Linked DNA regions of Drosophila melanogaster. The protein of the gene in region 1 interacts with the protein of each later gene in a pairwise test. Each region holds a gene or a part of one and is shown on either strand. Other genes may lie near its edges.

What was found. Proteins that work in one complex are often made in the same cells at the same time.
Region 2: the proteins of CG13157 (region 1) and Rbp9 interact in a two-hybrid assay, tested with the Drosophila melanogaster proteins (one large-scale study listed by BioGRID).

The regions. Positions count from the first base shown.
Region 1 is NT_033778.4:12,414,366-12,418,125, reverse strand, and holds the start of CG13157 (uncharacterized protein), read right to left. Parts: upstream 2,083-3,760; 5' UTR 1,672-2,082; coding exon 1,254-1,671; intron 970-1,253; coding exon 1-969. Other genes in the region: Cpr49Ah (cuticular protein 49Ah), read right to left, coding at 3,273-3,760.
Region 2 is NT_033779.5:2,952,700-2,956,459, forward strand, and holds the start of Rbp9 (RNA-binding protein 9), read left to right. Parts: upstream 1-2,062; 5' UTR 2,063-2,614; intron 2,615-2,680; 5' UTR 2,681-2,808; intron 2,809-3,760.

The DNA of each region.
Region 1 (3,760 bases):
GCCGGAAGCTCCAAGCAATAACGAGGAGCACCGCGAGCGTGCCAAGTGATCTTTGCGGGGATCCGGCGCCGGAATCACTCGGTATAGCCACTTGGGTTGGCTGTATATCCATATCTGCATCTAGTATCTCCTGCTGCCTCGTCACCTGTTCTACCTGCGGACGAGCATGACCAGGACGTATCTCCACCTTGGGAAGGGGGAAGCAGTAGACCCTTTCGACCTCCACCAACTGGGGCACAATGCTGTCGGAGGAAAGCGAAGTTTCCGAGACGGTGAGAGGCACACATATGGTTGGCTCCTCAGAGGCATTTCGATCCTCGTAAGGAATGCCCACCCGGGTTATATTCAGCGGCACGGTCTCTGGAACACTCAGTTCGCTGTGCATCTGGGCGGAGTTTAGAGAATCCTCGTAGTACTTGTATTCGTCCACAGGATCAGAGACGCTCTCGTCGCGCCGGTCAATGCTCCCCTGAATGCTCCCATCTATCCTTTCGGTGCTCACCGTAAGGGATGTGCTATCGATGAAATCAGTGGGCCAATTCAATAGACCCGCAGTGGATCTAGTGGGCTGTGTGGGAACCGGTGGATGCACCACCGAGGATTGCATAAATCCTGGTACCACGGAGCTCGTTGCAGGTGGAGCTGGCATTGTGGTATCGTAAGGATACGGATACGGCAGGGGCAACCAGTTGTCGTCGGCGGAATTCTTGGAATTCCTTCGATTGTCCGTCGTCGTCTCCACGGACTCGTTGATCTGCTTGGATATTGCCTTCAATATGGGTTCCGAATCGTTGACCCTGGCCAACTCGAATTGTTGTGGCACCTGCTGAGTACTGATGCGCCGGCGTCCATATTTCTCTGCTGAACTTTCACGACTGACTGGTCGGGAATAGGCAGGATTCTGGTAGCCACCAGGGGCAATAGGAGCGGACAGCTCTTCGCTGGAACTTGATGGCTTGGCATCAATAGCTGCGGCATAGAAGTATTTGAGACATGAGCAAACAATTTCGAAACAGAGACCAAATTAAACGCTACATGAAGATCTTTTTAAAAAGATGTTTAGGTTTCAATATAGTTATCATTAATATAAATCAATAACATTAGAGATTAATAATTCAGGTTATTGAAAATATATTTAACCTATTAAATAAAAGACTAAGCAGACTTTAGTTTCATTAAATTCTAGCAGCGTTTGCTTGTTTTTAATGATACTTATATTAATAGGAAATTCACATTCGAAGTTGAATTCTTACCATCTGCCGGCAATCCCATGAGCATGGCTTCCAGGCGTCCGTAGACCCGCTCCTTGGGCTGCGGTTCCGAATCGATTTTCGTGTCCACCTTCTCGGGCCTCTCCGGATGCTCTGGCTTCCAGTTGCCGTACACCACCGCCTCCTGACTGGGCGTGGCCGGCAGGGGGGCGGTCTCCTCGCGCCACAGTGGAATGTGGGTGTGCACAGTGGAACTGATGGGGCCTGCAGCCGGCACAATTGGCCAGTTTCCCAATGCCTGAGCAGGTGCTCCGCCGACTGAAACGGGATTTTGCATATCCGCAATGCGTATACGCCCCCTGGGACGGGGAGGACCCTGCAGCTGCTGTGTGGCAATTAGCTGGCAGCCACTGAGGGCTATCAGCGACCACAGTAGACACTCTTTCCAATGACTAACCATATTTAAATTGAACACGTCTATCTTCTTTTTTTGCAGATGCTGTGCTACTTTTCAATTTTACAGTTCGTTTTTATAGGTTTATTGATTCATTCTCGTTTTCAGCAGCCACAATAACAATCTATTGTTTAATTTTTGGCTTCTGCTATTTTTTCTTTGACGTTGCTTCGATGTCAATGTAATATTCACATCTACAGTTCTTCACATCTTCACTTTTCTGTCGATCAACCACTTCACTTCCCCATTTCTTTTCACTCCCCACAAACAAATATTTGTATTATCGCTACCAGTTTTCGGTGTAACGCTCTTGCGAATTCGATCTTCAGCTTTCTTATAGATATTGTATATTGTAGAGGAAGTATCTCTTTTGCTGGCGATTTGCGATCTGCACGCGACGGCTTGTAAACGGCAACTGAGTTGGCCAAATCAATTCCAGCACCGCACAGGCCCACAAGAAAGATTCTTTCTAATCACGGGCCATAGAAATTTTCCTTTGTTCGGCTTCGTTATTATATGGTTTTTTTTTCGTCTTAATTATGCGCAAGAGCGTTGAAACTTAATGGCGAATAAACATTCTTCGGGGCCCCGCTTTCGGGGTCTGTTTCTACGGCGGTGGTGAAAATGCAGCGGATTTGATTTATATTCAGCTAGAAATAACCGCAGAGTATAGTCAGTGTGTTTACGTTATATGCAAATATGTTAGGTGGCCAAATCGTTTGCCGTTTTGTGGCCCAAAAGGTTATTCGGTTGTTTGTTCTTTCAACCTGATGACAGTGGTTTTTGGTTTCAATATTTGCGTAGCCAAGGGCTACTCCATTCGAAATGCCAAACGGTAAAGGTAGCCTACGTTAAATACAATAATTGGCAGAACGAAGAGGTTTCTCGGCGCGAAATCGGGGCTACGCCAGTAACCCATTCGTGGACCACTTCAACTGGCTTCCTCAGCCTTTCCACATGCAACGCCTGCCCGCGAAGACAAGTCGAATGGCACTGGAAAATCTGTCGTAATTATGCAACTGGCAACCAGTCGAGAGACTCCTCTCGAAAGAAAATTTCCATGGCGGCGATGTAGAAATATGGAAAATTGGAAAACCCAACCTGCATGGAATGGGATCAACAAACTAACGTAATTCGATCTGCGAAGTAAATAATAAAGCAACGAAAGATGCACGGTAAATGGGGAAATACTTTGAGAAAATAATGAGGACCCATAAACGCTTTGTCACGTTTGTCTGAACATCGTGGATATGGTCAGCTGTAAAACGGAAAAAAATAATGCCAGAAAATATGGTAAGTCCATCATCAAGTCGGTTCGGCATAATGGAAACGTTAGTTTACTTTTATTGTTTCAAAGCAGCGAAACTTTCACACTCGTTAATAAAATATTATTAATTTGATTGAGCGCCCCTGTCTGTTGGTTTTATGGTACTTAGTGGGAAATTCAAAAGTTATTAAACGATTATCATTCAGTGTGGTACAGCGATTTGGATTTGGAAGAGCTTGCAGAATGAAATCACAGTCTTGTTGTTGTTGATATAGAATGCGAAGAAGTTACGTTTCCAGGATCATCGGTTCGGTGGGGGAATGGAATGGGCGGAGCTCGTCTATTGGTTCTCCAGCAGACCGATGTACTGGCCATTCTGGTTGGCCACGCGTCGCTCCTCCAGTTTCCTCGCAAAGTCTGGATCTGTCTTGGCCCTCTGCTCCAGACGCTCCTGCTGCAGTTTAATGCCAGCGTAGATCTGATCCAAACCCTTCTGTATCTCCTCGGGAATAGCCGGCGGAGTAGGAATGTGATCACCTGTGGCCCTGAATCCATTCTCGTCGGCCGTGTACTGCACATTGACCAGAGTTCCCTCGGGGGATTGGTAGGAGTACTGGCCATGCTGAACCAACACCCCATTTGGATTGGTGTCGAAGTCCTTGAGGAAACCGGTTTCCTCATGAATGATGCTATTGCCCGTCTCGTATTCTGTCTTGTAGCTTCCATCGTCACTCTGCTCCTTGTTGTACTTGATTATGGGTATCCAGGTGCTGGTCTCTCTGTGATCTTCATGACGATGATGATCTGGTTTGTCATCGCGTGGTATGT
Region 2 (3,760 bases), on another chromosome or scaffold:
CCCCCCCCGCCCACCCTACCCCCTTTTCCTGTTACCCAAAAACATAAACATTTTAGTTGAATTTTGTTTTCGTATGCGTACAGTAAGGAAGATGAACGGCTTTTTAAATTGTTTAAGTTTTAGTTAATTTTACTTTGCAGCCTTGGTAAAGAAAAATGTTAGCAAATATAATTATACATATTATGGCATATATAAAGAAAAGTTATAGTTATAAATTCTTTATAATATTTCTATATGAATTATGTTTAACGCAACTATTTTATTAATTTTAAATTAATTTTTAAAAAGCAATCACAACACGTTTTTAGAACAAAATACATGAATGAAAACAATATATATTTATATTAATATATATTTCAAATATATACACGCAATTGTATTTCTCTTTTGGTTTTATTTCTTTCAACCCATCCATAAAACCACCTCATCCACAGTCTATTCCCAACATAATTCATAAATTCATAATGGGTGCCTCAAAACTCTCACACAGACGCAACAACTAATAGTGCATTAGTAGACTTAAACGAGTTAAAAATCAATCGAAATAGACTTGCCCTCGAAATAGTTATATAAGCTGTACATATAGCCGCCAGTATACAAGAAATATATTTTTAAATGCCAAAAAGTGAGCGCTGTAAACTACTTTAAGCCAACTTCAATCAGCAGAATTTGAAAATGAGTGGGGATTGGGATAGGATGGTACGATGGTAGGATGGTAGGATTCTGGAATACATTCATATATTGACCGAGTTGAGCAGCCAGCATTTTCTTGTTGACTTTTATTTTGGCATGTACGAAATCGAAACTACGAAAATCAAAGCAAAAATGTAACGAAAAACAAAACGGAAAGCAAAACAAAGTAAGAAAGAATATTAAATTAATATTAGTAATGGTTCTGGGGAAACAAGGCATTCGCTCGCATTCGACAAATGAAACCGAAAACAAACATTTAAATTGTAGACAAATTTTAAGTTATCACTAAAATGACGAGTGCCGAATGCCGATGGAGAATTTGCGCAACTTTATTGTGCAGTGCAACTACATAAGTGTAATTATTATAAATTGGTACACATGCATACATATGTATTGTTAATTATTAAAACGATGTAAATAATACAATTACGTAGGCGGGAAGACACGGACACAAACATGCATATAATTAAAGTAAGCATAATTACATGCCTAACTATAAATAACTATATATTGGTATATATAAAGATATATAATATATATATATTTTTATATATATACACGATGAATTAAACTAAACAACGTAGAAATCATAGTTAAATTTTTTCGAAGTGACAAGATTAACGTGCAGCAATAAGCAACCGACAAGAACAACAACAACAACCACAACAACAACAAAAACAAACGAAACGCGCCTAGTAATAGTTAATAATTCTATTTTGTTAAGCGTTATTGTAGTGAAACGAAACAAAAGAAAACCAAACAAAAACAAAAACAAAACCGAACCGACAGATCGAACAGCAAAACCAACAGAATTAAGTTTTAAGCTGGACTTTGGAACGTGGAAAGCGAGTAGAAAACCAAAATGAATGCAAAACATGTTGTTCATTGACAAAGCTAAAAGTAAATATATATTTTGTACAAATATAATTAAATTCAGCCGCAGCTAAAACCAAGTACACTTATTAAAGTTTAAGCAACAACAGAACAACAACCAATTTAATATGCAATTACCGTAACAGTAGTTGATAAATCGAACGAATAAAACATCAAAAATTGTAACATTTACATAACTGCCTTTTGTGTCTTGCTTTTTTTTAACACTATGGATGGTTGTAATAACGGAAGGAGATGCTTTAAAAATTCAGTGTGACCAGGCAAGGTTATAAATTCATGTCCATCTGTTTCAAACAAAAGCTGGAAATTCTTAACTCCTGTTCCTTAGGGGAACACTTGAAGCCGAATGCAATTAAAACGATTTCTTATCTTGATAATGCTCATGACGAAAGGAAGTTTCGATCAATACGAGAAAAACTTTTTGCATGATTAATCGATCAGTGCTGGTAAGTCGCCAAAGTAGTCTGTCAGTGTTAGCAACTCAACGTGTTACTTGCTGTGCTTTCGACAGCGTGGTGTCGATTCTTCGAATTCATCGTTTACAACTTCATCATAAGGAATGCAAAATCAAAGCGATTTTGTGGGTGAGATCCCCAGGTACACTCGCAACAAGAGAAGGCAATATCAGCGCCAACGACGTAAGGCACATCCGCAAATTCCAGGGGTATTAACAGGAGGACCAGAGCCAGAGAAAGTCAACAATTGTCAGAGAAAGAGACCCATCAAGGGCCACGTGTATGACTCCACCAGCGAGGAGGATATGACCATCAAACGTAAGCATACAGACGCCTCGTGGTACAAGGTTCAAGTTAAATGCGAGAATGTGTCCCCGAACATCGAGGAGAAGCACGGCAACAAGATCAAGCAGCCTTCCTTAGCGTGGAACAACAACAGGAAGCCCAATAAAGGGGATCTACCACAACCACCGCTATCTTGGCTTTATCCCAACCAATCTAGGGGCTTTTATGACAACCAAAGCTGGAACTCTGGCGGCTCACGTCAGAATCAGTCGCAGTGGGAAGCACCAGTAAGCTGAAAATCAATTATTCATTTAAATAATTAAATTAACCGAATTTTATATGCACATCCGCAGAGGCAAGAACATTCATCTTCAGCTCAAGGCCGTAGTGCCAGGAACCCATATCTGAACCCTATTCAGGAATCCTGCAATGGGCGTTATATTATTGAACATCAATGGAACACGACCATTATCCATCACAAGTAAGGTAAGGCAACAAGAATGAATTACATAAAAACCTATTCGCTAAAGAAGATTTAACACAGCCACTTATTGTACACAAATCTATAGTATGTCATTTATAACTACATCGTGGGGATTTTCCCGATTTCCCAAACACAGGACATTTTCATGAAAGGGCCTTACATGTCTGATCAGTTAGGTAAGGGTTAAAAGCGCAACATTTTGAGATGCATTGGGCCCCAACACCTATGCAAAGTGAGTGCATGCATGTGGGTTGCTGTTATTGTGATGGTGTGCAAGCAGCAACAAAACAAACCGCATATAAATAAGGAGAGCGAGGTATTGTTGCATACTTGTAGGCAGCGGGATGGGGGTGGAGCTGTTCTGTTCCATCCGCTCGCAAAGTTCAATGGTCTTTTGACACAAATGATGATGATGTCAAGTTGAGCTCGTCCTACGCTCCTGCCTTGCTCTCTCTCTCTCTGATGCTCTTTCTAGCTTGCGCTCTTGGGTTTAAAGCCCCTCTGGCACCTTCCCTTCAGTCAGCAGCCGTTGTTGTTGTTGCTTAAGTGTTTGTTTGGGTGCCGTGCTGGCTCTCTCAGCTCCAACAACAGCAATGCGGCCGGCTTACGAGCCCCGGCTCTCTTCGCCTCTTTTGGAGCTCGCTCTTTGCCGAACGGAGAACCTACCGCAATTCGTTTCGTGTTCACGGCTGCATTTCCTTGTTTATGTTTTGCGAAGCCAAATGTAGGGTACATCGGTTAAGTGCCGAGCCAGGAGAAAGAGAGAGCGAGCGAACGAGTACCGTTATGTTGCCGGAGCTGTTGCAGGCTGCGCAACTTGCGGCTGCAGCTTTTTATTATTTGCCTTCTTCTTCGCGACCGTTACTTCTCGCATGGTACAATGGTGCAACTGTGCCCAAGCTGTATATTGAAAATAAAACAGCACTTCTGCATCTCACTGATGTGCAAT